Linked DNA regions of Lonchura striata. The protein of the gene in region 3 interacts with the protein of the main gene of each other region in a pairwise test. Links are inferred from orthologs where the notes say so. Each region holds a gene or a part of one and is shown on either strand. Other genes may lie near its edges. The genes, in order: LAMTOR5, ATOSB, CEP70 and DDX6.

Region 1 (7,689 bases), on a different chromosome or scaffold from region 3:
GGTAAGAGAATTATAGACTAGAATAATTAGGGAGGAGAGAGGAGAATTAGAGAGGAGAATAATTAGAATAGAATAGAATAGAATAGAATAGAATAGAATAGAATAGAATAGAATAGAGGATATTCCCCTGCTGTTTGGAAACTATCCATGAAATTATTTTAGGTGTGGAACATTCAGAGCAGGATGTGGCGTGTGTGGGTTTGTGACACCTCAGCTGTGTCCTGCTCCTATCCCATCCATGTCTGGGTCAGATCCCATCCCAGCCATGTCCTGATCCCATCCCAGCCATGTCCTGATCCCATCCCTGCTGTGTCCTTGTCCCATCCCAACCATGTCCTTGTCCCATCCCAGCCCTGCCCTGATCCCATCCCAGCCATGTCCTGGTCAGGTCACATCCCAGCTGTGTTGTTGTCCCTTCTCAGTCATGTCCTGATCCCAGCCATGTCCCAGTCCGATCCCACCCATGTCCCAGTCCCATCCCAGCCGTATCCTGATCCCATCCCAGCCCTGTCCCAGTCAGGTCCCATCCCAGCTGTGTCCTGTCCTGATCCCAACCATGTCCTTGTCCCATCCTGGCCATCCCAGCTGTATCCTGATCCTATCCCAGCCCTGTCCTGATCAGGTCCCATCCCATCCCTGTCCCACTCCCATCCCAGCCCTGCCATGTCCCATCTCAGCTGTATCCCGCTCCTGTCCCAGCTGTGTCCTTGTCCCATCCCAGCTGTGTCCTTGTCCCATCCCAGTCGTGTCCTTGTCCCATCCCATCGCTGTCCCACTCCCGTCCCAGCCGTGTCCCATTCCCATCCCAGCCATGTCCTGGTCAGGTCCCATCCCAGCTGTGTTGTTGTCCCATATCAGTTGTGTCCTGATCCCAGCCATGTCCCAGTCCCATCCCATCCCTGTCCCGCTCCTGTCCCAGCTGTGTCCCACTCCCGTCCCAGCCCTGTCTTTGTCCCATCCCAGCCGTGTCCTGTTCCCATCCCAGCTCTGTCCTTGTCCCATCCCATCCCTGTCCCACTCCCGTCCCAGCCCTGTCCTTGTCCCGTCCCAGCCCTGTCCTTGTCCCGTCCCAGCCGTGTCCTTGTCCCATCCCATCCCTGTCCCACTCCCATCCCAGCCCTGTCCTTGTCCCATCCCAGCCGTGTCCTTGTCCCATCCCATCCCTGTCCTTGTCCCATTCCATACCTGTCCTTGTCCCGTCCCAGCCCTGTCCTTGTCCCGTCCCCGCCCTGTCCTTGTCCCGTCCCAGCTCTGTCCTTGTCCCATCCCATCCCTGTCCTTGTCCCATTCCATCCCTGTCCTTGTCCCATCCCAGCCGTGTCCTTGTCCCATCCCATCCCTGTCCTTGTCCCATTCCATCCCTGTCCTTGTCCCGTCCCAGCCCTGTCCTTGTCCCGTCCCAGCTCTGTCCTTGTCCCATCCCATCCCTGTCCCACTCCCATCCCAGCCCTGTCCTTGTCCCGTCCCAGCCCTGTCCTTGTCCTGTCCCAGCCCTGTCCTTGTCCCATTCCATCCCTGTCCTTGTCCCATCCCATCCCTGTCCCACTCCCATCCCAGCCGTGTCCTTGTCCCGTCCCATCCCTGTCCCACTCCCGTTCCAGCCGTGTCCTTGTCCCGTCCCGGCCGTTCCCGGCCGCTCCCGCCCCGCTCGGGCTCTCGCGGAGGAACCTCTCGCTTCACCTTGGAGCAGAACATCAAGCAGAGCCGGGGACTCGCACGTTCGGCCCCGGGCGGCTCCTGGCTCCGTTCCGGCGGGGAGGAGCTCCGGGATCAAAGAGCCCCGAGCTCCGCTCACCGCCACCGGGATCATTTCCCGGTCCCTGCCTCGCCACCGCGCATCCCCCGCGGGAGCTGGCTCCTCCAGGGGGAAATTACAAGGATATTTCCTAGGATAGTCCCCATTTCCTAGAAGTTAAAAGGATATTTCCTAGGATAGTCCCCATTTCCTAGAAGTTAAAAGGATATTCCCTAGGATAGTCCCCATTTCCTAGACGATAAAAGGATATTTCCTAGGATATTTCCTATTTCCTCGAAGTTAAAAGGATATTCCCCATTTCCTAGAAGTCAAAAGAATATTTCCTAGGATATTTCCTATTTCCTCAAAGTTAAAAGGATATTCCTTAGGATATTCCCCATTTCCTAGAAGTTAAAAGGATATTCCCCATTTCCTCGAAGAGAAAAGGATATTTCCCATTTCCTAGATGTTAAAAGGATATTTCCTAGGATATTTCCTATTTCCTAGGATATTTCCTATTTCCTAGGATATTTCCTATTTCCTAGAAGTTAAAAGGATATTTCCTATTTCCTCAAAGTTAAAAGGATATTCCCTAGGATATTCCCCATTACCTAGAAGCACGGGTTGGAGGAGAGACTTTTCCACCACACGGAGCCTCCCCTGACCCAGGGTGAGCTCCAGCAAAGCTGCCAAGACGTTTTGTTTCTTTTTGTTGTGGTGAGATCTGCTGGGAGAAAAGAATTTGTAATATTTTCCACCCAGAGATGTCTAAAAATTAAGCAAAACTCTCAAATTTATAGCACTTTCTGCCCATTTTCAAGCTTGTGGAAGGCCAGAGGCAGCTCATAAAATAAGGTAGTTTAATAAAAGAAACCCAAAACATAAAATTATATATTTTTGACAGTTTTATGAATTATTGTGGGGGTTTTTCTGATTTTTTTCCTCTCTTTATTGCCATGGGAGCCCTTCCTGGGGGGGTTTGGGTGCCACAAACTCACCGGCCTGGGGATGCAGCCTCCCCTCAGGAGGATTTTCTCTCACCAATAAAAAGAAAAAAATCCTGATGTAAAAAAACACAACCTAAAGAAATTCATCCTGGTCTTGGCAGTGTTTTATTTTCACCCAATTTTGGATGTTTTTGACGGGGGGAAGCAAGCACAGGGAAGTTTTTGCCTCAAACACCAAATAACGACTTCACAGGGGATGGAAATGCAGAGCCTGCCACAGCCACACCTGGGGGGCTTCACAAATAAACTGGAATAGAAATGAGTACATGAAACAAATGAATGAATGAATAGAGAAATAGAAGAAATAAATAATAAATAGATTAATATACTGTAATGTAATATAATGTAATGTAATTATAATATAATATAATATAATGTAATGTAATGTAATGTAATATAATGTAATATAATGTAATATAATGTAATATAATATAATATAATATAATATAATATAATATAATATAATATAATATAGAAATAAATAGATACCTAGATATATAAATAAGAAACAAATAAGTAAATAGGAACAAAAAAACAAACAAATAAAAATTGGTGATGTTAGAGTACCAAAACCCCCCAAACTCCCCCAAACCCCACTGGCTCCCTTGCCCAGCTCCCACCTCCACAGATTTTCCAGGAGCAGCTCTGCACACACCCCAAATTAAACTTTGTGATTAAGTCTTGCTTCTGCCTGAAGGGAAACTATCTCTTTATTTGGTGTTTTTTTGATGTAAATGCTGATTTTTTTTAAAATTCCTTCTCTTTCTTTACCATGGCTGGGGGTGGCTGCAGGCAGCAGATAGAACTGGGATTGTGGTGTGGAGTTGGTTAAAAGTGTGTTAATATTACAGGGTGGAAAAGTCAGAGTTTGGGTTTTAGAAATTAGCAATAAATATGGAGCAAAATAGAAGTTTTAGGGTGAAGGCTGCTCCTTCTTCACCTTCTCCATGGGTTTGGCTGGTGTTTTGTAACTGGACAGAAAAGTCCTCTTCAAGGGATTAGTTATTGGGTTAAAAGTGAAAATAATGCAATTATCATTTCTTAATGAGATAACTTAGCCTTAAACGAAATTATAACAAGGGACAGTTAATAATTTTGTACTTTGCTAATAAAAACCTGCAGAACTTGCTGCTGTGAGACCGTAACATTGGTAAGGAATAACAAACTCCTGGGTCTGAACACGAAATGTCGTCTCAAGTGCCTTCGATGCCCCTCGGAATTTTGTTTTCCCCTGTACACAACTGAAAAGTGTAAAAAGAATTAAAGTCAGGTCTCCAGCAGCCCTGCTCCGGCTGATGCTGCTGAGCCTCACATCCCAAATTTTACCGTGTGCCAGGATAAAAAAAAACCACAGGAGGAAGCTCTTGGCTTCTCACATCCACCTTCACTCTTCAAATTGCCTCAACCTTGATTTTTCCTGGATAAAATAAAGAAGAACTCAGGGCAGCACCCAGGAGCCAGCACCTCGGGAAAGGGATTTGTGACTCCACGCTCGCAACGCGGCGAGTCCGGGAGCATCATTCAAACCGCGGCTGGGTTTCCTTCGGCGCTGCAAGCCCCGGGCGGCACGGCGGGGCACGGCGGGGCACGGCGGGGCACGGCGGGGCACGGCGGGGCTCGGTACCGGCGGGGGCACGGCGGGGCTCGGTACCGGCGGGGGCACGGCGGGGCACGGCGGGGCACGGCGGGGCACGGCGGGGCACGGCGGGGGCACGGCGGGGCTCGGCGGGGCACGGCGGGGCTCGGTACCGGCGGGGGCACGGCGGGGCTCGGTACCGGCGGGGCACGGCGGGGCACGGCGGGGCACGGCGGGGCACGGCGGGGGCACGGCGGGGCTCGGCGGGGCACGGCGGGGCTCGGTACCGGCGGGGGCACGGCGGGGCACGGCGGGGCACGGTACCGGCGGGTGCGGAGCCCCAAGAGCCGAGCTCCCCGCGGAGCCGAGCGCGCCCCGAGCGCTTTTGGCCGCGCGGAGCCGCCGTACGGGCGGAAGTGCCGGAGAGCCGCCATGGAGGCGACGCTGGAGCAGCACCTGGAGGAGACGTGAGGGACACGGGGGTGGGAGGGACACGGGGGTGTGGGGGGGTGGGAGGGACATGGGGAGTGTGGGGGGATATTGGGGACGTGAGGGACGGGGGTGTGGGGTGTGAGGGGTGTGGGGGGTGTGAGGGGATGGGAGGGACACGGGGGTATGGGAGGGGTGTGAGGGGATATGGGGGACGTGAGGGGCACAGGGGGTATGGGGAGATATGGGGGATGGAAGGGACACGGGGGTGTGAGGGATATGGGGGATGGAAGGGACACGGGGGTGTGAGGGATATGGGGGATGGAAGGGACACGGGGGTTTTGGGAGTTGTGGGGGGATGTGGGGTATGGGAGGGACAGGGATGTGGGGTATGGGGGTACGGGGGACATGGGTCATGTGGGAGACATGGGGGATGTGCGAGGTATGGGGAGCGTGAGGGGACACCGGGGATATGGGGGGTATGGGGGACATGGGGGACGTGAGGAGACACGGGGGGACACGGGGACGTGGGGATGTGAGGGGTGTCAGGGGATATGGGGGATGGGAGGGAACGGGGGTGTGGGGTATGGGGGGTATGGGGAACATGGGGCATGTGGGAGACATGGGGGATGTGGGAGGCATGGGGGGTGTGAGGGGATACGGGGGGTATGGGGGACACGGGGACATGGAGGACGTGAGGAGACTGGGGGGGACACGGGAGATATGGGGGACATTGGGGGATGTGAGGGGTCTCAGGGGATATGGGGGACGTGAGGGACAGGGGTGTGGGGTATGGGGGGTATGGGGAACATGGGGGATGTGGGAGGTATGGGGGGTGTGAGGGGACACCGGGGGATGTGAGGGGACACGGGGGATGTGGTGACACGGGTACGTGGGGGGACATAGGGACATGGGGGAACACAGGGGACATGGACACAGGGGGACACGAGGGAGATGGAGGGTATGGGGGGACATGGAAGGACTTGGGGACGGGGGGACGTGGGAGGGTTATGGTGACATGGGGATGTGGGGGGTCAGTGGGGATATGGGGAACACGGGGAGACATGGAGGGAGATGGGGGACTTGCAGGGACTTGGGGACATGGGGGAACACGGGGGATATGGTGACACGGGGACGTGGGGGGACATGGGGGATGTGAGGGGACATGGGGGATATGGGGGGACATGGGGGGTGGGGGGGGGACATAGGGGATATGAGGGGGCACAGGGAACATGGGGGGATATGGGGGAACACGGGGGGACATGAGAGGACACAGGGATATGGGGGGGACTCGGGGACAGGGGGACACAGGGGATACAGTGACACAGGGACAAGGGAGGACACAGGGACATGGGGGACACGGGGGGATATGGGGGGACACGGGAATACAGGTGGATGTGGGGGGACATGGAGGGACTTGGGGACAGGAGGATATAGGGGATATGGGGGACACGAGGGGATATGGTGACTTGGGGACGTGGGGGGACAGGGGGGGCACAGTGGGGATATGAGCAACATGGGGGACATGGGGGGGACATGATGGGGGCACAGGAGCCATGGGGCGGGATATGGGGGACGTGGGGGACACAGGGGATATGGGGAACTTGGGGGGGCATGGAGAACATGGGGGCACACAGGGGGATGGGGCACACGGGGCCGGGCCAGGGGCACCGGGGCTGTCCCGGGCTGCGCTCCCGGCTCTGAGGCCGCTGTCACCCCCAGCATGAAGAGCCCGGCCGTGGTGGGCGTGCTGTGCACCGACTCGCAGGGGCTCAACCTGGGCTGTGAGTGAGGCACCGGCGGGCGTGGGGGGCACTGGGGGGCTCCTGGCACTGCCCGGCCCCTCCAGGGGCTCCTGGCACTGCCGGCCCCTCCAGGGGCTCCCAGGGCTGGGGGGTCCCGGCGCTGCCCACGGGGGGTTGGGGTGCTCCCAGTCCTGCCCGTTCCCTTTGAAGGGCTCCCCGGGATGGGGACACCACCCGGCCCTACAGACCCCCCCTCCCCAGCTGTCCTGCACCAGTGCCACTCTGGGGACACCTGCCCTGCCACCACCTGCCTGTTCCTGACAGCTCACCTCGGGGTTTCTGGTGGAGGGAGAGGAACTATTTGGGGAGACACTGAGTCAGCCCCCAGGGAGGGATATGGGTCAGGGAGGGAAATGGGTTGGGGCAAGACCAGGGAGGGAAACAGGCCAGGGAGGGAAATGAGCCAGGCAGGACCAAGCCCCTCGGCCTGGGGGGACAGTCAGCCTGTCCCCAGCACTGCCCTGGCACAGGGGGTGTACCCAGCCCTCCCACCCCTGCAGGCAGGGGAACCCTGTCGGATGAGCACGCCGGCATCATCTCGGTGCTGGCCCAGCAGGCGGCCAAGCTGACCTCGGACCCCACGGACACGCCCGTGGTGTGCCTGGAGTCGGACAGCGGGTGAGGCCCCAGCCTGCAGCTGCTGCTGGCCCCACCTTGCCTTGCCCCAGCCCTGGGAGACTCCTGGAGTCACATCCCTGGAGCAGCTGTGGGGAGAGGCTGCCACAGGCACAGTCCCTGGGTTAATGGGGATGTAAAAGAAGCAGGAAACCTTCCAGGGGCTGCTGGTTCCTGCAGCTCAGGAGCTCTTCCCCCTGGGGTCCCTGTGGGTCACAGAGCCTGGGGTCCCTGTAAGTGACAAATCCTGGGGTCCCTGTGGGTGACAGAGCCTGGGATTCCCTGTGGGTGACAGAGCCTGGGGTCCCTGTGGGTGACAATCCTGGGTCTCTGTGGGTGACAATCCTGGGTCCCTGTGGGTGACAGAGCCTGGGATTCCCTGGGGATGACAGTCCTGGGTCCCTGTGGGTGACAGAGCCTGGGATTCCCTGGGGATGACAATCCTGGGTCTCTGTGGGTGACAATCCTGGGTCCCTGTGGGTGACAGTCCTGGGTCTCTGTGGGTGACAGAGCCTGGGATTC
Region 2 (8,015 bases), on a different chromosome or scaffold from region 3:
CAAGGCAGGCGTATAAGAAATGAAACATTTCTGCAGGGAAGCTGTAGGGGGAGAGGCTTAGGCATGAAAAGAGAATGAGGGAGGGGACCATTCACATATCCAGTGTGTGGGGCCAGGCACTTCTCCCAGAGCTCGCCCAGATCACCGGCATCCTCTTCAGAGCACGTCCCTTATGCCACCTTTAATCCAAGCCCGTCCCACAGCTCCCCAGCTGCAGGTTGAGGCAGAGGGCCATTAAGTGAAGTCAGACTGTCTAGGACAATGGGTGACCCTGAGGGGTGAAGTGGCAGCAGTTGGAGCTCTACATTTCCAACAGTGAAAAGAGAACAGGGATTATTTTCCTGATGCTGAACAGCCACATGAAGTCCCTAGGTGTTGTTCCAGCCCTGGAAACACTGTGGCAGGGACAGGCAGGGACATCCTCAGTCTGACCTCCTGCTCAGAATGGGATGCAACCAACACAACATCATATTTTCTATGGCTTTGTACTTCAGAGATCCCTGCCCTGGGCTACATAGAAATTCTTCTTGCTGAGCAACCTTAGCCTGCCAAGCTGTAGCCAACAGCCTTTATCCCTTAGAACCCAGACTGCCAGCATCTCCAGGACAGATCTTTCGAGTTTTGTACATAGCCAGGACTCCTGTTTAATTCTGGGAAGTCCCATGTGTGTCTCAGACAACAGTGAAGTCTGTAGCACTGGGTTAATGACCTGTGTCAGACTCCAGATCATCCATCCTTTTTTCCTTGGTCTCTAAGGCCCACCATGGTACCTTGGGGATCACAATGCTGCCCTCCTCTACAAAGGTGCTGGGAGACAGCTAATAGGAGAGGCAACACTGGAACTATGAGTATAGTGTGGGTATGGGAGCAAAAGAGCAGCCCTACCTGGCCCTACTACCCTGTGTTTGTTAAAGTGATCTCAAATCCATCATTCTCACTTCTTCCTTTCCCACCAGGACTCTGAGACATGCCCAGTTTGGGATGAGGCTTTGGTGGGCACTGGGACTCAGTCAGCATACCACAGTGACTCCATCTCTATTGTGACCCCAAGCTCTGCTTGGAGATGTTACCAGAAGGAATTCCCACAGTGCCAAAAGAGAATGCCATCTCTTCCCCCGAGGGCAGTAGGACTCCCCCAGCAGGAAACTCTCCAAGTTTGATTTCTATCTTCAGTTTTACAGCTGTTTCTGTCAAACAGGTAAACCAAGCACATCATGGAACCAGGTTCTGGCGGGGGAAAGGTCCTGCAGCACTGGTTCACATTCCCCCAGGAAAATTCCCTAGCTCCAACACAGGACCACAGGGCACTACAGTGCATCTTCTCCTTGTGACAGTCTCAGAGAAAGAGGGACAGGCTTTGGCCTTTGTCTCCTCTAGTTGCAAAATACAGGGAGGACAAGAAGCATTAAACTCCACAGAGGCAGGCATTGCAGAAGATACAGTCCATGCTGCATGCCTAGGACTGGGACTGTGAGAGATACAAAAATGCAAGCCTTTTTGTGGCAACACACCGTTAAGAAAGGAAGTGACACCCTATGCTCCTCTAGTACACCTGTCTTTTCAGCTTTCTCCAGCTCCTCTACCAGCTGGGATGAGGCCATGAGTCACCACACAGTGCCTGGTCCAGCCCTGCCATTGATCCACACCCCACCCAACCTGCCACCACTTGCCAAGGGCCCCAAAACAACGTGATAGCTGATTTCCACCAGCTTCTTCCAAGGTCCTTTTAAAATTCCCAACAATCTCTTGCTGGCAGGACTCCAAGTCTTACCAGGCTTGCTTCTGCACATGGGTCCTTTATTGCTTTACCTACCTATGGACTTGGATCAGATGTACATGGTATGGCACAGCCTGCTGGCACGGGGAGTGTACAGGTGATGCAGGGGTAGCATCACCCCTATACAGGCACATCCTGCCCCATCAGCACTGACAGATGATCCATGTACTTCTCAAGGGCACTTTTGCAATTGTGAAACCTGCCCACACCAACAAAATGAGTGTGTGCATGGGGATGCCGCTCTTCCATGATGAAAACCATTAAATTAAATTAAAACTGGGGCAGGAACCTTGCTTGTGTCAGCTCCTCAGCATCCTGGAGCTTGGCACCTGACAGCCTTTTGAGTGGGAGCAGCCAGCCTGGCAAACAGGCTGAACAGCCCCAGCTCGCTGCAGGCAGGTTGGGGCAGCACTGGCAGCTCCAGGAAGGAGGTAACCCAGGGATGAACTCACCACCACTCAGTCACCTCACCAGGACACCCTTCAAAGGGAAGCCCTGCAGGCAGAAAGGCTCAAGACGGAAGGACGTCATTTCACCATGTGCTGCTTGGGACACCTCATCTTCCTGGGAAAACACCCTTCTCCCAGCCCTCCTGGCAGGCGAGTCTGGAAAGTGGCCAACTCTGGTGCAAAGCCATGCCTAATGTGCTTAAACCCCTTGTTTGCCTTCACCAACCCTTGTAAAGCCCTTTTCAAGTCCCCAGTGTGTGTAAGGAATAGATGAAGGCTACTCCTGGCAAGGCCTAGGGTGGGCCCCTCTGTAGAGAAGTAATATAGCTTGTGCAGTAAGTCTGCTCCATCCCCAAACCTCCCAAGCCTCTGGAAGTTTTTCCAGATGCTCTCCAAATCACCACAGCTTGTGTTACTGTGCCCATCAAGTGGCCATAGTTGAGGTTCTGCCCCATGGGAAGAGCAATGGGAGCAGCCTCACCCCATCAGACTGGTAAAAGGGGCTTTTGTGTCCTGCTCCTTAATCCTGCTTCTGAAGTGAGAACATGTTTCAAAAACCAGGGGAGGTTGCTAAGGGACAGTGTGCTCAGCAGGGACATCGCTCACAAACCCTCAGCACTCAGAAGCGGGAGGTAAATAACTTGGGATATTATTAATCCTTCACTGCCCACACAATAAACAGAAATGTATTATTCTTGTCAAGGACAAAGGAGCCTATATTTCCCCCCAACCAAGGAGCTGAACCAGCAAATTTTTTTGATTCAGCTCCACAGTGGTTCAGCTTTGACTGAAGTTGTTCCAGTTGAGTTCCTGTTCAGGCCAATAAAGGTTCATTAACCATTTTTTAACTGTGAACTCGTTTCAGCCAGTTTACAGTGGAGAACACAGCCTGTGTAAGCAGCTGTGTGATGGGGACTGAGCCTTTTTCAGCCCATCCCTGGTTTCCATAGCCTCTGCTGCCTTCCTGTTGGACTCCAGAATTTCTTGTCAGCTCAGCAGAGATGACATGCAGGGTCAAAAGACAGAAAAGCTAAATTTTGCCCTGGAAGTCTGTAGAAAATCTGCACTGTGAAGGAAAAATGGGCATGTGGGGAAAATGAGCTTCCTGGGCTCTTCCTGGCACCAGCACCTGTACACACAAAGTTTGAGTCAGCGGCTCCTAAGTCACAAGGAACACTGGAGAATCACATGTTCCTGTCATTACACTCAGAAATTAGACTGTTCCATACATTAAATACCTTTAGTGGCCCACAAGCTGAATGTGGGGACAGCCAGGGGTTATTTAACAAGAAATTGCTTAGAGCAGCAATCTGAGGCCCCAGGAGAAGATGGGGTCCTGAGTTGGCAGCTGCTGCTCCATGGCCACATAGCTGTCAAGAGGACATTGAGCTGCCATTTCTCCCTGCAGAGAGGCACGTGCAGGGCACGGCTGTCAGAGAACCGTCTGTCCTGCTCATGGCTATTCCCAGACAGCATCAGCACAGCTTTATCGATGACAGCACCTCCGAAAATAATGCCCCAGGATCAGCAGCAAGGCAAGGGGAGCGTTGGGACTCAGCAGCCAGTGCACTGCAGGTTCACATCCAACTCACTGTGTGCTGTCAGAAAAGGAGATCTTGGTTATATTTATCATTTGACGATACTGGTCCCCACTATTTTTAGAGTGGTGTTGCAGCTGTAGCTTCCTGAGGAGAGAGAAAAGTCGATTGGGGGACTGATCTTTACCGAACTTCACCCAAAAGTGATGAAGTCAAGGCATCTCTTCCATGACCTAAATGGCCCGTGGTCAGGCTGGTGAGCTGTGGGCTGCTTCCCCTCGGGGCAGTGGATCCTGCTGGCATCCCCACAAGCGGGTGGCACTGCCCAGGTACCCCACGGCTGCTGGGTGTTTTGGTATCTCTGAGCAGCCATATCCAGGGGGGCAGCTGCCCCCCGGGTCCGGTGCCCACGGTGGGCTCTGGCACAGGCCGGCACAGCCCGGCAGTGTGGGTAGATGGCCCCGGCCTGTGGGGCACCAGCACCAGCTGGGGAGTGGGGAACACCAGGGTGATTCCACTCGGGGCATGAGACAAGGGACACCGCGGGGGTCTCACTTTGGGGAGGCCATCTCCATGGGCAGGGAGGGTCATCTCTGGGGCTGGCACAGCTCGCATGCATGGTGCTGGGCGAAGGGTGACTGTGGAGTTGGGACATGCTGTGCCCGTGGGTGTGTGCACGGGTGGGACACGCCGTGGGGCCGGGGGCACCTCTGGGGTGGGACGTGGTAGGGACGAGACGGCTGCCCCTTGGGGTGGCTGTGCCCTTGAGTGGGACATACCGTGCCCGTGGGGCCGTGCCCGTGGGTGGGACACGCCGTGGCCGTGGGTGGGACATGGCGTTCCCGTGGGGCCGCTCCCGTGAGTGGGACACGCCGTGCTCGTGAGGCCGTGCCCGTGAGTGGGACACGCCGTGGCCGTGGGTGGGACACGCCGCGCCCGTGGGGCCGGGGTGCCCCCTCAGCCCGCAGGGTCAGGGGCGGCAGTCCCGCCCCGCGCCGAGCCAGGCCCCGCCCACGCCGCCGCCGCCGGCCAATGAAGCGCCACGCCGCCCGGGCCCGCCCCTTCCCCGCTGTCATCACACTCCCGCACGTGGAGGGGGCGGGCCGTAGGCGGGGTCTCGGCGCGGGGCTTCACCGCCCATTGGCCGCGCGGCCCCGCGGCTCGCCCGCCCCGCGCCCTGCCCCGCCCAGAGCACCAATCAGCGCGCGGGAGGCGTGTCCGCAGCGGCACCCGGAAGGAACGCAGGAGCCGCGCACAGTCGGGGCCGCGGCGGCAGCGGCGGAGGGGGCGCTGGTGGGTCCGGCGGGGCCGCGACGGGTAGGGCCGGGGGGCGCGGGGCACGGCCGGGGTCCGGCGGGGACGGGCCCCCCGTGCGGCGTGCGAGCGGGTTCGTGCGCCCCATCTCTGCCGCCGTCCTCCGGTTCCAGAAGGTTCGGGAGGGCCGTTGGGACCTGGAGCCCAGACCGCAGGGGCGAGCCGGAGCTGGGGGAGGCGCGACCAGGAGGGGCCGTGATCGGGTAGTATGGGGGAGGTCGTAAACTGAATGGGCAACTGCGAGCGGTGGGGGGCCTTGACCGAGATGTGGGTCTCTGTGCTGGGGAGGTCGTGACCGGGATGGGTGTCTGTGAGTGTGGGGGACTGTGACCGAGGTGGGGAGCTGTAGCCGGGGCACTTGGGCCGGCAAGAGGCCTGGCACCGGCGGAGGCTGTGGCAGGAGGTGCCGAGGCGGGGGGGTCAGGCGGCGGTGTGACCGCAGAGCGACTCTGGGGGGCCGGGGGTGCCCGGGGGAACTGAGGCTTCGGGAGGGCAGTGTCTGGCAGAGGCAGGTGTGGACCGAAACGGGGTGCAGCCTTTGCTGCGGGGTGTCCCCGATCCCGGCTCCCAGTTCCCCGGCAGCTTAGGGAGGCTGCGCTGCCCCTGGTCTCGCCCACCAGGGCCACGTCCTCTGCGCTGTGACATGGGCTGGGACAGCCTGTCTGCAGCTCTGCCCGCACGGTGGGGCCTCCTCCTCCTCCTCCTCTTTTTCTTCCTCCCGCGGGCATTAGCTCCAGCCCAGCTGGGACGTGGTGGGTTGTCCCGGCACGGCCCGCGGCGGTGGGGCCGGGTACCCCGGGGGCGCGGGAGGCGCGCCTCGGGCGGCACCCGCCCCGGGGTCCCTTCCCAGGCCCCGGCGTGGGGTGCGGGGTGGGCGCCGGGGCGGATGTGAACCCCGGCATCCGCCGCCCTCTGGTGACAGCCAGCCGCGGGCGGAAGGGCCTGTCGGGGGCACTCCCCTCCCGAAATCAGCAGCTGCCGTCCTACCGAGGTTTTCAAGCATCTTGCAGGTTTTATACAGAAACGGCAGCCCGGGTGTCAGGTTTGGAAAGGTGGTCTATTAGGGAAGTCAGAGGAAATGGCTGCATGGTGATTGCTGTTGAGGTGGGCTTGCTCACGACCCACCCGTGAACATAATCCATCAGTATGAACGGCACACACCTCCAGGGTTTCCACACTCCTTTTATTATTTTTCTTTGAAAGAAGGCGTGTGGAATTTGCAGTTGCAGTGGAAAATGCATGGTAGAGGAATGTTGTGCTCTAAATTTAAATTTTAAAAGTAATTTCCACTCATTGCCTTTTTAAAAACATCAGACAAGCAGAGATGTGCTTGCAGACCTGCCCTCTCCCTGAATCGTATCTGTTGGCATCAGTAAAGAGGAAAAGTTGAGAAATTGTGGAGATTGTAGCAAGCTTGAACCCTGACACAAAGCAGTGTCTTGGCAAGCTTGGTAGCACGAGGAGGTGAACAAGGTCCGGCAGGTGACATAGAAGAAAACTCCCAATGTGATAGTGCTAGAGTTACTTTTGGCAGGGCTGGGCTTTAGGTTGAGGACTGGGAGAATGAAGTCATCCTGTAAAGCCTGGTCACCGCCTTGTTTCACAGCAGCAATTCCCATGGTTTGGGTCTCAGCATGAGTGAGTGGCAGGGTGCTGATGGGGACTCTACATGTGCCAGCATGCAGTGCCAGCATGCAGTCCCAGCACTAGGGCAGGGCACTGGTGGGAGTTGGCAGGGCTGAGGGGTTCGGATGGGGCTGGTTCTGAGGGATGCTGCTGCCACAGTGTTTGTTGCCAGGGTGTCAACACTTGCCCTTGCCTGACCTCCAGCCCCTGCTCCCATAACATTTAACCGTAATACTGTATTCCTGCTGACTCTGGTGGGGCCTGGACATGTCCCTTCCCATAGAGACTAGGGTGGTCAGGACAGCAGAGCCCTGCTGTCACCACAACTATGTCCCTTGGTGAACTGGGCTTTTGGACCAAGGTCCACCCACAGTTGGAGCAGTGCTGGGGCTGTTTCAGCTGTACCACTCACCCGGGGTAGTGGGTGAAACGCCTTGTTTCTATTCCTCATGTGAGAGGTTTCTTACCCACTGAAGGAAGGAAATCTGGTGGGGTCACTCTGTACTGTGGGAACTCCATTGTTCAGAGCCGCAGCTTACTGAGGAGAAGTGCATCTTTGCCCCGGTCTTCCTCCTTGCTGTCTGCTACAGGCTGCTTGCCCTGGCACATTTCTGCATGACTGTGCTGAGTACCAGAGGCCTGAGATACCCGAACTTTGTTCTTTGAGTCTGAGGGTGATTGAAGAGGATGGCTGTTGATCTGAGTCTTCAAAGTCAAAGACTCTTGGCTCTTCCCAAGTCCTTTACATGTTCTTATTGCTCTGGGCCTGCCCAGGTTTGTCCTCTGCTAGATCTGGTTGACACCATTGTGTGATGTGTAGAAATGCACTATGACTGGGTGCCAGGACACTTCCTGATGCAGAATAAGAAAACCTGTTGTTGGTAAGTATGTGGCCACAGACAAGAAAGGAGAAAGTGAAGCCATATGGTTAGAAAAGTGGTGTCCTCAGCATGCTGTCAATGGAGCTGTAATGAAATTATCAGAGGCTTTGGTAGCTGGAGGAATTAATGAGTTGGGTTTGAAACAGTACAGATGTGAAGGGCAGCATGGGATAAATCCTGAAAGGAGATATTTGTATGCTGGCAGATGGTTTGTAACAGGTTACTTAGTGAGATTGTTGCAGGTTACTTTGTGAGAGTCTTCTCTGAGAGGCTTTTGCCTGATGTCTCTCCATGTTGCATGATTCCCAGGGACCTCCTTCTTCCAGGGATCTGTGTGGGCCTCTGTATCCTGGTAATGCCATATTACCATGTTTCTGATCCTCACTTCTGTTTGCAGCGACTGGCACCTCTGGTCCCTGGCACCTACTTT
Region 3 (7,424 bases):
TTCTTTTTAATCTGACTAATTTGAGATTCATAATAATCAATTAGACATAGGTACCTGAAGAAAGGAAAAATGTTAATTTTGAATTTCAGATATTCTCACAAAACTCATAGTGACCAACCCAGATGAACAGCTCAGCTTATACAATGCACTGCACTTTGAAAGTGGCTGCTCCAAACAGTGCAGTTTCTCTCATACCAGAAAAACACGGTCACACTTTGCCAAAATGGAAAAGTAGACACATTGAATCTGTACTAGTTCAGAAGCAGCAAAATATTCAAGAGGAGAAAAAAGTTAAATCTGCCCACCAGTGTCCTCATCTTATGCCTGTGGTTACCCAGCAAGATTAACAGAGAGGCACAGTCAAAATAAAGTGTTTTGAGCACTCAGAGATTGTCTGGTTTGGAGAGACACATGAGAGACGACAGGGAACCAAATCTAGGGATCCTTCCTCTGATACAGTGAGAGCTCAAGGAAAAAGCTGAGCACATACAATCCCTCTTAAAAGTTTCCCAGATAAACATTGTTGGCCAGGCCTAGAAAGCCAGGTGATATCAGCACAATAAAGCAATGGCTAGGTTTAGGAATTGGCCAATGTCTGACTGTAGCAGAGCTATGGAAATCCTACTAGCAAGAGACGAAGCCTTGTGACACTTTGGGAACTCACCCAAAAGTACTTGGAAGCTCACAGGAAGCCTCCAGTCAGCAGTTGCAATCACTTCCCAAAACTGGAAAGGCTCTTTTTTTGGGGGGGGGGCGGGGCTAAGGATGCTGTTTGTTGAGGGGGTTTGTTCATTTTTAACTTCCTTAATTTACTTACTTAAATGTCAGCATCCCAGGATGAGATCATCCTAGCTGCCAGCCACTGCAGCTACAGAGCAGAGTGAATCATTCCCTTCCCTTTGCTGACATCTAGTGTGGGCAGTGGGTGGCAATTGTTAAATTTCTGCCATGGATTTATCTGGCTTACAGTTTCACAAAAGAAAAATATCACTGCACTGAGGTACCTTCGCAAGACTATATATTTCATCTTGTACTCCTAAAGTCTCCAGATTACTTCTTTTTGCCATATAAATATTGAGAAGCATTACATTAAAATCTGTTTCTTCATTTACTGTTGCAGAGATTCAGCAGTAGAAGAGAATCACTTACCGCTGATCCAGGAGAGACTTGGGAGCTCTTCTGCAAAACTGACAAAACATTTTGTTTTGAATGTCAACTCGCTGCTGCTCCTCCCTCCCAACTCTCCTCAGCTCCTTCTGCAAGCGGGCAATAATCTCTTCCTGTTCTTGCAGCTTTTCCTGCTGCTGTTGGTATTTTACCTGTGAACAGGCAACAGGAGTGTTACTGAATTGTAATGACCCACACACTGACTATACCATACAAGCCCAGGTACACACCTGGAACCAAGGAACGTGAGCATTTGGGTTTTAGCCATGCTGAAGAGACAGTCTAAGAGAGATACAGATACTTTTCAAAATTATTTCTAGAAAATTCTGCATAGTTTGAGAATACTTAGCTATCAACAGCGTACTAACCCTATGACCCAAGAGTCATGTTTATTTAGATCAATGTAAGTATTCTGAGATCTTCTGTAAGTCAAAAGTTTGAATCCTCAGGCAGCACTATCTGAATTACCCGTGAAGCCTGTTGTTCTTTTTGAAGTTCCTTGACTTGGTTCTGTTGCTGGCATGCCTTAGCTATTGTTTCATCTTCCAGCTGACAAATTTTGGCCTTAATGTTTTTCACCACATTTTCCAAATCATTAGCCCGTTGCTCTTGCCGAGATGCCCGACCTTGTTCCAGTCGTACCACATCTCTGAAAAAAGAAATGAATCCTTGCTTTTAAATTAAACTCATTTCACTATAGACAGTGCATAAAGCACACACCTGACATTATGTGATGACCTCTGATAACATCCTGTGGCAGCAGGTGTGGGAAATACACTGATATGAGAAGAAGCAGCAGATGAAACAAGGGGAGAGCTTGAAAGGAACTGGGACAATATTGCTGCATATTGAACAATAACCTCAGGAAAAAGGTCTTAGGCCTCTGGTGAGATAAGATCTCCACCAGGCTGGAGTTGCACACTGATAATACTTTTACTCTGCAGGTAAATTCCTTCCACTGTCTTACCTAAGACATCGATTTGCTTCCATAAGTCCCTGCATCACCTTTTGCTGTCGCTCAGTGTCTTCCACCAGCGTTTGTAACGCAAGTCTTATTTCTTGAGAAGACTGATGGTCTAGGACAATCATATCTGGAGACAGAGAACATAAGCAAAGTCACCATGAAAGGGTTTGAACAGCCAAAGAGGATTTGCCTGATTGCAGCCACTAGGAAGTGACAGCTTTGAAGATGCCTTATCAACTTAGGGTTACTATTTCCAAATAAAAAAATTACATTTCCTTACCTGATGTACCTCTGCAGCTTTGGGGGGCAGCAAGGCTCACAGGTTTCAACCCATGACGCATTAATACCCTGTTTAAGTTTTCCCACTCTGTTTTCTCCTGCTGCATTGGGAGAAAGGGAAAAAAGGCAGATACCTGAGTTCTTTGCATCGGCCGTGCAGCACAAGGTACCAAATGCCCACAAATTAAAGCAAACAACCCCAAACCCCCAGGGGGCCGCTACAGGAGGGTTTGTGAGAAACTCCACTACGATCTGCAAAGCACACTGGGGAAACGCGTACTTAACACCACACAGTATAACCCGTTTTCCTGACCCCTACTTGAAAGCAGAACACGGCGCAATGAGTTAAATCCGCCTCTTTAGGAAACGCGAACCACCACCCGCGGCTCCCTCCACCGCACCCGGGGCGCAGCGGCCCCGCCGCGCGCGGAGCCCTCAGGGAGGCGGCGGCGGCTCCGGGGGCTCGCGGACCGCTCCGTCGCGTCCTGTCCCGCTCCAACCCCCCAGCAGCGACGCCCGGGGCCAGCGGGGTACCTCGGCCATGGCCGCGGGGCAGAGCTGGGCCGCGGGGCCGCGGGGCAGAGCGGGGCAGAGCGGGGCGCTGCTCAGGCCGCGGCGCCGCTCGGGCGGGAGCGGAGCGGCGGCAGCGGCGCGCGGGGGCGGCGCCGCGCGGCCGCCGCCATTTTGCGGCGCGGGAGGCGAGGGGAGGAGAGCGGGCGGAGGTAGGAGCGCGGCGGCCGGGCGTGGGGCTAAGGAGAGCAAAAAATAAAGACTGGGGAAAAATGGGAAAAACTTGTTGCTGGCGGTAATGGCTGGGAGCACGTCTGGCGTCCGGTTTGCGCTTCCCGGTACGGCGATGAGCGCTGCCGGGATTAGGTGGATGGGCTGGGAGCTGTAATCCCAGGCTCGTTTTCAGAACCGTGTAAAGGAGGAAGCACTGCCTTGGGCTGCTGAGCTGGTCAGGGAATGGAGGCGGTGGGTGCAGCTGCTGTGTGTCCCTCCTGGAGCAGCGCACGGCTTTCCCTTGGGACGCGGTGGGATCGCCTCCAGCAACCACCCCTGGCCTGGGGTCAGCCTTCGGGCTCGGTGTGAAATAAATGTGTATTGCTTCATTACCATGATTTCAGGGAAAAAAAAAAGTGTGTTCTGGGATGCTTCCCAACCCTTTCAGCATTGATCCTACAATCCACGCCGCAGCGCCGGGGCCTGCCCGGGGCGATGGAGGCTCTGGTGTGTGAGACTCTCCGGGCATCTCCTGCGAGCCCCGGGCCGCCCCTTGTGCTGATCCCTGCCGGGGAACAGTCCCTGCCTGCTCCTTGAACAGAGGAGGGAAATATTCCCTGCCTGCTCCTTGCAGCAGGGGAGGGAAATATTCCCTGCCTGCTCCTTGCAGCACAGGAGGGAAATGTTCCCTGCCTGCTCCTTGAACAGAGGAGGGAAATGTTCCCTGCCTGCTCCTTGAACAGAGGAGGGAAATATTCCCTGCCTGCTCCTTGCAGCACAGGAGGGAAATGTTCCCTGCCTGCTCCTTGAACAGAGGAAGGAAATATTCCCTGCCTGCTCCTTGCAGCACAGGAGGGAAATGTTCCCTGCCTGCTCCTTGAACAGAGGAGGGAAATGTTCCCTGCCTGCTCCTTGAACAGAGGAAGGAAATATTCCCTGCCTGCTCCTTGCAGCACAGGAGGGAAATATTGCCTGCCTCTCCTTGGAGCACAGGAGGGAAATATTCCCTGCCTGCTCCTTGCAGCACAGGAGGGAAATGTTGCCTGCCTGCTCCTTGAACAGAGGAGGGAAATATTCCCTGCCTGCTCCTTGCAGCACAGGAGGGAAATATTCCCTGCCTGCTCCTTGCAGCAGGGGAGGGAAATATTCCCTGCCTGCTCCTTGCAGCACAGGAGGGAAATGTTGCCTGCCTGTTCCTTGAACAGAGGAAGGAAATATTCCCTGCCTGCTCCTTGCAGCACAGGAGGGAAATATTGCCTGCCTCTCCTTGCAGCACAGGAGGGAAATGTTGCCTGCCTCTCCTTGGAGCACAGGAGGGAAATATTCCCTGCCTGATTCCCACCGTGTGCCCGGTGATGCTGCCTTCGCAGGAACCAGAAATTTCAGGAGTGGCCAAAAACACCCCCTCGGCATTTGTTAGCACTGTTTGTTTGTTGATAGGTACAGACAAGATAATAATGAAATTAATGAGTGAAAAAAATACATTATAAACCGGTGGTTATAAAACACCATCGTGTAAGAAATTAGTTCTTTGTGGCTCACATAGATTTTGTGACTGATTTGCCAGGTCAAATTTAGTAATGTGCTTGTTGAAAGCTGCTACAGTTGTTTAGAAAAGGGAGGAGGTGGAATTACTGCCTGTGCTATTTCTAATCCCAGTTTCATTACGGTCTGGGACTGAGATGCGCAGCTCTGGATTAGGTTCCTGCTTTGGTCAAGTTGTTAATTTCTAAGCTTTGTCTCACAAATCAGGCAGCCCATTTTTCTGTCCGGTAACTGACAAAGTTATGAGCAGCTAGTGAAGGTAGGACACTCTACTAGCACTTACTTGGTTTTGTAAAATATAATATTTTTTTAAATACACTTGCCTTTCTGTCTTAGAGAAAGATGGTTGTATTTTAAGTGTTTTTATTTTATCATATTTATGACAGCACTGCACGCTAGTTAATGATGCTTTTAAAAATTGTCCTTTATCTTAGCTGGAGAAAATGGTGAAACTTTAGACTTCAGCACTTCTCTCCTACTATTCTGCTTTTCTATTTTTTCTTGCTGCTAATTGGATTAAAAGCTCTTTTGGCTTCTATGGCATCCGGTGAGGAGATTACTGTCTGTGACGATGAAGTAAGGTAAAGAATCAGAACTGTGATATGAGCAGATTTTGAAAGATATCCACAGTTCCAGTGGTCACTTATGACTGTATCTAAACTTTAAAAATCACTTGAATAAAAGGATATCTTGCCAGATCCCTTCCCCTGTGTCTGTCTGTGAAGCGTTGAATATCTGAATGATGTAGGTAGTGTTTATGAGATTAGAGTCAAATCTGTTAACACAGGAAATCGTTTTTAGACTATTTTTTCAAGTCTAAAAAGCTGAAACACTTTCTTTGACACAAATCAAATAATATGTTTTAATGCCTACCAAGAAATAACAGAACTATCCAGGAGTATCTTAAAACTAAATGTAATTTTGTTACCTATTGTCAGCTGAAATGGGAGTTTTAGAGGTTAGATGGGTAACTGTGTCTTTGTACTGTTTGTCAGAATGAGTCTGCTTAACTGTTTGTATTTTGTGATGTTTTGTCATATTTGAATGTCTGAAAAACATTAAAATATAAGCTGTTCTCTAAGTGTATTCTTTCAGTTGTCATTTTGTATTTCAAAAAATGCAAATACAAAAGCAGAAGAAGCAGTAAAGCTTTGAACTGCAGACATCAGGACTTCCAACAACAATTAATTTACTTTGTTGGTTTCTCCTTAGGTCTCGGTACAGCCACTTAGAGAAGATGACAGATTTGGTGGCTGTTTGGGAAGTAGCTTTAAGTGATGGTGTTCATAAGATTGAATTTGAACATGGGACCACTTCAGGAAAGCGTGTTGTCTATGTTGATGGAAAGGTGAAATTGCTATGTGCTCAAAATTCACTGTGATACAGATTATATAAGTACACTTCCATGCAACACACATCACAACAAACAAAAGACTAATAAATGCGAGTGAGGTTCATTCAGTTAATTACCTAATTTAATAACATGCATCATTCTTTTTTTTTCAGTTCCAATTAAGGTGTGAGTATTCATGAAGTGCTTTGCTGTCCTTGGACAGGGGCACTCTATGCATACAAAGCACCATGTATGCTTTCATTCCCCAACAGTAGTTCAGTACTGAGCTGTCTCCCGAGTTCCAGTTCAATTTTTTAATATTAAAACATGCACTCAGTTTTTTCAATTAATATCCACTGTCTTTTTTTTCTACAGGAAGAAATAAGAAGAGAATGGATGTTTAAATTAGTGGGTAAAGAAACATTCACTGTTGGAGCTACTAAAACTAAAGCTGCTATTAACATTGATGCAGTCAGTGGCTTTGCATATGAATACACTTTGGAGATCAATGGAAAGAGTCTCAAGCAGTATATAGAGAACAGGTTAAAAACAACCAATACTTGGATATTGAACTTGGGAGGTACAGACTATAGAATTGTTCTAGGTAAGTAAACATTGAGTGACTACATGTTGCTGCCTGTGAATAAACTTCTGTGCATTTAAAAACTGGTAATTAAGAAAGCACAGTTGAGTGGGTAGCTCTGATGCGGTATAAAATCCTGGGGGATGTGGAAATTTGGAATGAGATGCCAAAGATAGTCTGACAAGTAATGACTTGTTATACATGTGTGAGTCTACAGCAGTGTGGTCTAGATTTGGGAGACGTTACTGCTGCTGCATCCATAGAGCTGCCCTAGCAAGGCAGTTCTTCAGGTGAAGACTGTTAAAATTTTACCTTCATTGTGATCAAACCTCATGTGGGTCTAAGTTTGTTCAGCAGGTAACCAGGTTTTCCTTCCAAAAATCATCAGCCATGGTCAAGAAGTCTTCATCTGAAGTGCAACAATGTTATTTCACATTTTTGACATGTGGATAGATTGATGAACAGCCTTTTTTCTGTATCACTTCTTATGTACAAAATTAAACTAAAACCCTCCAGTGATGTTCTTTCACTTTCTTAATGGTAAATTACAACTACCAATACATTGTTTCTCTTCTGCCCCCTCTCTCCCAGTTACATTACAAGCAGGTGGGAGGAAGGGATGATCCCTTGAGGAATTTTTCTGTGGCATCTAGTGGGAAAACTTCCACTTGGGTATTGCTGTATGGTTAGAGCTGGAGACAAGAGATCTCAGACTATGATTTCTTCTTAAACCTCAGGACAGAATGAACTGCCCTAAGATGAAGGGAAGCAATGAAGAAAGACAGTTTTAGTGCCAGAAACAGATAAGTCTTCACAGAATTTTAATATCC
Region 4 (7,044 bases), on a different chromosome or scaffold from region 3:
AGCTTGTCCACTGTTACGGATTTTCCATGTGAATCATTCCCTTCTAGTCAATGCCAGGGCTGGGAGCAGCAAATCTCATTTTGAAAACCTCAGAACTGTAATTGCCCACATCAATACAATATACTGACAGAGCTTCTGCTCATGACTTCTGCAGGGGCTGAACCAGGGAAATCCAGGAATAAGACCAAGGCCTGTGGAAATTACATGTTACTGCAGTGTAGGTGCCTTAACGCTCTTGAGTCATGGTGGTCCCATTGCAATGAAAACTGGGCCAAGGAACCTCAGGGAACCTAGTATAGATCTCAGTGGTTTTTCTGCAACTTGTTTTTGGATGTCTAGTCCGCAGATGAGGAAGGTTAGCAGGCAAAGCATTTTTGCTATGGAGAAATGGGGTTATCATTTTGGACACGGTACTTTTCTGCAAGGTTACAGAGTCAAAAGTCTCATATGATAACAAAATTTACGTGAGGCCCTCACTGTATTCACTGTGTGATACTGAGATAAATGCCCTTTTGGTGTAAATGTTCTCATAATTTTTCCTTCCATAATTGCTCAATTGATCAAACGATCCTCTCTGCACAAGGCAGAGTTTGTGTTGCCACCTTGACAAGACACTTTGGAGGCCTTTTTTTTCAAATCTTTATGGGTAGGTTGCTGCTACAAGCACTGAGTATAAGTAAAGCAACATATGCCACCACCAAAGCAAATACATTGATGCTCATGTGATATCTGCGGCCTCCCTATTCCAGGGAGGGAGCCAAATCTGGGAAGCTGCCAGAAGACAGAGGTGGGAAACAACACATATCAAACTCCCAACTGCAGAAGTCTGAGAAAAGGTCTAAAACTCTTCCTGCTGTGGCACCTGACTGTGGGTGTTTAGTCCTAAAATCAGCTGGGTTCTGCCACCCAACCCTCCACTCACACGGGGTCTTCTTTATTATGTAAAAGAATTCACAGCAGAGATAAAATCACAAAGCTAAGGATTATGTAAGTTTTGTATGCAAAGAAAATGAGATGAAAAAGGTTTGAGTTTGGTTTTAACCCCTCAGGAAATTTTAGCGCTGCCACTGAACTTCAACAGAGGTCAGGGAAAGAAGTGTCTTCTCCAAAAGAGTTTTAAAGGAATGACCACTATTTGCCAAGGGTTTTTATACTGGATGAATCAGAAAAGAAATAAATAGGGTAGGGCTTGCTCTTCCCTGGTGTGTAGGAAAAAAGGAAGAACAGAAAATCAGGTAACAATTGAATCCAACATTTCTCTTTTTGGAATAATTAATCCTGAGGTCTGCTGCAGGGAGCCACTGTAGTAAAAAAATAAATTCTGAGATGCAATATTTGATAACCAGGTTAATGATAATGCTGCTGTGTTCTTCCCGTTGGATAGCACAACATACTGTATAAGGTACAGCTGCTCTTTTTCACTTGTAAAGGCTGGGAAGAGAACTAAGGTAGAATACCTAGTGTCATCACTCTCTGTTAGAAGTAGTACTTGCAATCTATCTCCCACTCTTTAATCCTGTCTTGTAAATACACTGCGTGTTCCCCTTTCAGCAGAGTATATGTGGAGCCATATGTATGGAAGCCTGTATGTGGAGCAAGTAAGCAGGGTGGTCATACCATACCAAGGGTTTTTACACACGTAGAGAGAAGACTGGGTTTGCTTGGGTATTCCAGTTGTCAAAGGAGACCAGAGAAGGTGTACAGGGCTTTGCACACTGTGTACACAGTCATTTGTACTACTGAAGCCTGGTGCAAAAGGTTCCTGGCTCAGAATAACTGTTTTATGCCCATGTTGTGCTAATGGCTGTGCAGACAGCAGGGCAGCAGGAAGCAGAGGCAGGGAGAGGCTGGCAGCACAGGATGGGACTGCTGGAGCCCCACTCTGGCAGAGACTCCTGACCCTTTGCAGAGACTCTGGTCTGTGTCCTCATGAAAGGACAGTACTCGGGCTTAGTGCTTGCTAGTACAGGTTCCGTTAGCTTTCCCCAACAGAATACCCAGCATCCCTGCATCACAGGCTGGAGCCACACTACGCCAGCTCTCTGCAAGCAACAGCTTGTAGTCAAGTCTGGATTTAAGGGATGCAAGGACTAATTATGCTGGCATAAGAAATGGCTCAAGCTCTGCCTCTGCCAACAGGAGGGTTAGAAGATGGATGGCCAGAAATCTGGCCTTTCAGCCCACCCTAGCTCTACCTGCCATCCCTGTTATCAAGCAAAGCCAGGCCCAACTCACCAAGTCATAGGTCTCTGATGAGTAGCTGACAGGCCCCATGGTTTGAGGGGCACGATCCGTCTCTCCTCCAGAAATTGCTGCAAAAGTTATTTTCTGAGGTGGAGTTAACAATTTAAGTGAGTGGGGAGGGACACAGACTGTAACAATAGAGTATTTGCAAGGCAAATGAGCTCCAGGCATAGAGTGACCTGATTGATGTAAAGATTAACATCTAGCTTTATAATCTTTTTACTAGTGCTGTAATTGATTTTTAAAGTAGAGTTTGAAGAGTCCCTATTCCTTTGATCTATACCACAGAAGATCCAGAACATATTTAGGTCTTCCTTGGAAACCTTGCCCACAGCTGTCTTTGTTACAGGTGGTCCAAAAGGCTTTGAAAAGTTCTGTGCTAAGGACCACCCTTACCAGAAACCTCCTGGATCCAGGCACTTCTCTGGAGCTGTGCAGGACTTTGAAGCATGGGTATGGTCTGTATGATCATCACCCTCTGCCTTGGGGTCCTCCTGGCTGCTTTAACCCCACTGACTTGTAGTGGTCTTCTGCTCCTCCTTCTGCTGCTTCACCCCTCCTTTGGGCTTGGGGGGGGGGGGGGGTGTGAGGTGGCTTGCACAGGAAAGCAAAGCCTTGCAGCTACTCTGCAAGTCTAGAGCAGGGCTAGCAGGGGCTAGGCAGCTTGACTTCACAAGGGTAAGTAAGGAGAATCAAGATCTTCTCTGCTTGGGGAAAGGCATTTTGTTCAGTGATGTCACAGCAACAGACTCACAGTGGTCTGGGTCAGCAGAGTAGGTTGGCATTGCAGCTGGCATTTTGGCAGAAAGCTTTACCTGTGCGCGGAGCTGAGGTGGTCTGCCAAGCACAGTTTTTGTCCTCCTCTCGTCTAGGTACAGCTGCATCAAGGCGTCTCTACCAGCAAGGACTCTGGTGGGACTTTGTACTTGTGAAGGAGAAGGTGGTGTTATTCCCATGAGCACTGCTGGATTACACCACTCCTGTTTCTTAGACCCCGACTTGTTGGGCACCAGCTGCCCCGAGGATGTCGCTGTCCTCCCATACCGTGAGGACCTCTGTGTGCACCTGCAGGTGCTCATCAGCTCCTGGGCATTTTCTGCTGACAGGATGGAGAGCAGCAGACCCGGAGGGAGGCCACAGGGAGCTTGCACTGTGCCTCACTCACAGGCAGAGCACAGACTGAGCAAGCCCTGTCCTGAACCCCGTGCTGCGAGGGCTGAGGGGCAAGGCGAGGAGTGGGGTATCACTGGGAGACGAGAGGCCAGGAAGGATGTTTGCAATCAGCTACAACTGGAGGGTGGAGCTTGTGCCTTTTGCTGCTGAGGGTGGAAAGACAACCACCTACAGACTGCTGGAGCTGTGAGGAACTAGATAAAACCAGGAATGTCCCTGTCCTTTTGCATGTATTTTGGAAAAACATTTGAAGAAAAAATTGTCTGCAAAGCAGTCACTACTAAGATTACATTCCCACTGTGTCTCGGTTTGTCAAAATCCACATCTAAGTAACAGCTATCTAAAGAGAAATGCCAATCCCCAGCTTGTCACGGTCGGCGGTTACGACTCCTGCAGGCTGTGGCTCAGACCCCCGTTGTTAGGTTTGTGTTGGCTCTGTTTTAACGGCAAAGCCCGGTCAGCTCCCCGGGTCAGAGGGGAGGGCCGGCTCTGAGGGAGGGGACGAGCGGCCCGCCCTCGAGCGCGCTGGGTGCGGCGTGACGCACGCCGAGCGTACGGGCGTGCGTACGTACGTACGTACGTACGTACGTGTGCGTGTGGGCCGGGGCGGGGCCGGTGCCACCCGCCGGGAGGGGGAGGGCGCACAGGAGGAAGGAGGAAGCCGCCATCTTGGAGCGTCGAGTCGCCATAACAAGGCACCGGGGGAGCGAGAGGATTTTGTACCTGGGCGAGGGGGAGCGCGGCTGGTGGCGGTGAGCACGGGCCAGGGCGGGCGCGGCTCCGTGGGATCAGGGTGAGGGGGCCGCTGCCGGCGGGCCGCGCCTCGCGGCCTGCGGCGAGAGCGCGGGCCTGAGTGGGGCCTGGCGACGCCGCGGGCGGGGCGGGGACGGCCGGACCGGGCCTGGGCGCACCGGAGCGGCGGGGCCGGGGCACCGCGGGGGCGGGGCCGGGCGGCTCTCGCTCCCCGCCGGCCCGGGCGGCGAGGGGCGGCCGCTCCATTGTTCGCGGGCGGGAGGTGCCGGTGTGGCGCAGCTGCGATCGGCGGGCGGCGCCGGGCCCGCCGCTCTGCCCCGGGGCTCTGCACTGCGGCCCGGGCTCATCGGGCGCGCTGAGCACCTCGAGGGCTCCCTTTGTGCCGGGCCCAGCCGGCGGAAAGGGAGAGGTCCGGAGCTGCTGCCCTGGCCGCCCGCCTGCGCCCGGAGAGCAGAAATATGCGACGGAGGCCCTTTTTTTTCAGTCCGTTGGTTTGCAAAATGGTGGCGGTTTTTTTATCGGAACAGGGAGATTTTTTTGGGTTCCGTGAGACTGTGCGGTTTTTTTAACCTGTGCTCTTCAAAAGGATAGTTACGAGCTTGAAGGCATAAGGGACTGAGAGGTTTCATTTCCTACACCATTGGAGAACTTATCGGTGTTAGTAGTCGGGTCTCATTGGCGTCTCTGGCTGCCTTCGTAACTCCTCTGGTTTTTACGAAGTTAATTGCTAAAAGAAGTATCTTTCCGAAGATGCCTTGAAAGTTAACTAGCAGAAAATCCTAGTATCGCAAACTTTCCAATGTTGCTGGAAGCCAGCACTAACACACCTTAAAACAGCTGGGAAGTCTGAATTCCTTTTCCACTTTCTTGAAATGCTCTTCAATATGCTTTTTTATTCACAGGGAAGACATGCATTTTGTTGTGAATGCAGAGGTTAGGAAGCAGTAGTCTGCTGGTTTTCCCTTTGTGTTTTCCCAAGATGCAGATGCTCAAGGCGAGCCTACTTTTCATTCCAAAAGATTTTGGACTAGGGACGTTTTGTCTCCCTGGTATCATTGTAAGGAGTCTTTAGCTCTGGTCCATACTTGCATTATGTAAGAGGCAGACTACGTGTTGTCTTTCCATAGTTTTGCAACCTCTCTATTACATACAGTGTCAATATTAAGTCATGTGTATGAAATGTTATCTTCTGAGGACCACACAAGTTGTTGCTGACAGTGGGAAGGTAAGATCACAAGCAAGAAGCTGGGGAACCAGCAGCGTTGCTGCCTCAGTTCAAGCTCAGTGGCTTTGACTCCAAGAGGCAGCTGCTCTCAGTTCAGTGTAATGGTGTTGGTTTGTCGCTCTTCTGAATAGCCTTAAATCAATACCTGGTTGAAAACTGGGGGTAAGCTGGTTGAGCTAGCATTTTGGGTTGGAGGAATGTAAGCTGTTGGTTTGGTTTGCATAATCTATATTTCCCATTCAAACCAAACAGGGCAATTAGTTTATAATGTAAGGGTTTTGTCAGTTCTAACTGGAATGTCCGCTTGATATTGTAGTCTTGCTTCTTGTCACAAATTTACGCATAATATTGTTGTTCACGTTTTAGGGCTGGTTGGCTGCATCACGGAAGTGGGGGAATTGGAGAGCCATCAAAGCAATTGATACACTTAATGGTTACTTTATCAGAGGGGGTAGGTAGTGGAAGGTCGCTGAAAGTACAGCTGTTTGGGAAGTTTTCTTTGATGTCTGAAGATGTTAGGCAACATTTTCTAGAAAGACAAAAAATGTTTGATGCATGTCTTTATAATTATCACGAAAACGGCAAGTACTGTTGTTGCACACAGTCTGGAAGAAATTTTTCTTAAAATACAAAAGTAAACTGATGTGATTTGCACAGAGAAAAATCCATATGCTAATTGTTATTGTCTGCTTCTCTTTCAGATTGAAGCAAGTGAATTGTGATATAACTGAACTTCAATAGAGGGCTTTTTTTAAAAAAAAGTTGTTCCACAGTGCATCAGAGCAAGTTACTGCTTTACTTTTGAGTGACTTACAGGTGCTTGCCTGCATTGCAATAAAGGACTCATATATTGAGCAAGACTTATTTATCTCTTCATTTTGGAGAGTCTAATAAACTGTTATTACAGTTTCTGTACTGACTTTCAAAGTTTTGAAGTCTAAAAAGACATCTTTAAAGATAAAAGCATGAGCACGGCCAGAACAGAGAACCCTGTTATAATGGGTCTATCCAGTCAGAATGGGCAGTTGAGAGGCCCTGTAAAACCCAGCGGGGGCCCAGGAGGTGGAGGCACACAAACTCAGCAACAGATGAACCAGCTGAAAAATGCCAACACAATCAATAATGGCACTCAACAGCAAGCACAGAGTATGACCACCGCTATTAAGTAAGTGTTTGTATCGGCTGCCATGCAAGGAATGTTTAGAAGTTATGTATGGGAAAGCATTCTTGGATTCCCACTTTGAAAATGCTGCCTTCTGTTTTGTCACATGGGTGGTTAGAAGTGTCCTGTCATGTGCATTACAAGTATTTCCACATGTGAGCTTCTCTCTTTAACAGTAATTTTTGTGAAAATCCAATTTGGTCCTGTGCTTTTCTGAGTGTGAGCCACTGTCAGAGGTAGCCCAGCTTTTGAATCCTGTGTTTTTTGCTTGCTGGAAGTGGTGCAAGAAGGAAGTATAGGAGTGGGAGGGAACTGAGCTGACGTTTAAGACTGAGGAGGAAATGCCACCTGGTCTCAGTCTAATTGTTTCTGCCTTTCAGTTTATTGTAATTCTTTCCCATGGTGAAAAATGCTTTAAAGTCAGTTATCTTCTGTTATTGATCTGAAATAGTAGTTCCTGATCTCCTCATTGTAATGCTCTGGCTTT

The links.
Region 1: the proteins of CEP70 (region 3) and LAMTOR5 interact in binary tests that used the Homo sapiens proteins (3 or more experiments, as listed by UniProt). The two-hybrid records come from large-scale screens. The link is inferred for Lonchura striata from reciprocal best matches to the Homo sapiens genes CEP70 and LAMTOR5.
Region 2: the proteins of CEP70 (region 3) and ATOSB interact in binary tests that used the Homo sapiens proteins (3 or more experiments, as listed by UniProt). The link is inferred for Lonchura striata from reciprocal best matches to the Homo sapiens genes CEP70 and ATOSB.
Region 4: the proteins of CEP70 (region 3) and DDX6 interact in a two-hybrid assay, tested with the Homo sapiens proteins (2 studies listed by BioGRID and IntAct). The two-hybrid records come from large-scale screens. The link is inferred for Lonchura striata from reciprocal best matches to the Homo sapiens genes CEP70 and DDX6.

What each region holds. Positions count from the first base shown.
Region 1 is NC_134632.1:1,406,537-1,414,225, reverse strand, and holds the start of LAMTOR5 (ragulator complex protein LAMTOR5), read left to right. Parts: upstream 1-4,750; coding exon 4,751-4,785; intron 4,786-6,469; coding exon 6,470-6,531; intron 6,532-7,052; coding exon 7,053-7,170; intron 7,171-7,689. Other genes in the region: embryonic pepsinogen, read right to left, coding at 4,606-4,752. UniProt on the Homo sapiens protein: As part of the Ragulator complex it is involved in amino acid sensing and activation of mTORC1, a signaling complex promoting cell growth in response to growth factors, energy levels, and amino acids.
Region 2 is NC_134642.1:40,208,362-40,216,376, forward strand, and holds the start of ATOSB (atos homolog protein B), read left to right. Parts: upstream 1-4,975; 5' UTR 4,976-5,057; intron 5,058-8,015. UniProt on the Homo sapiens protein: Transcription regulator that may syncronize transcriptional and translational programs.
Region 3 is NC_134610.1:9,371,805-9,379,228, forward strand, and holds the start of CEP70 (centrosomal protein of 70 kDa), read right to left. Parts: upstream 3,032-7,424; 5' UTR 2,954-3,031; coding exon 2,945-2,953; intron 2,512-2,944; coding exon 2,412-2,511; intron 2,259-2,411; coding exon 2,135-2,258; intron 1,817-2,134; coding exon 1,636-1,816; intron 1,320-1,635; coding exon 1,150-1,319; coding exon of another isoform or gene 1,146-1,149; exon of another isoform or gene 757-1,145; intron 55-756; coding exon 1-54. Other genes in the region: FAIM (fas apoptotic inhibitory molecule 1), read left to right, coding at 5,216-5,259, 5,891-6,026, 6,387-6,615.
Region 4 is NC_134625.1:11,073,745-11,080,788, forward strand, and holds the start of DDX6 (putative ATP-dependent RNA helicase DDX6), read left to right. Parts: upstream 1-4,026; 5' UTR 4,027-4,169; intron 4,170-5,761; 5' UTR 5,762-5,846; intron 5,847-6,096; 5' UTR 6,097-6,360; coding exon 6,361-6,560; intron 6,561-7,044.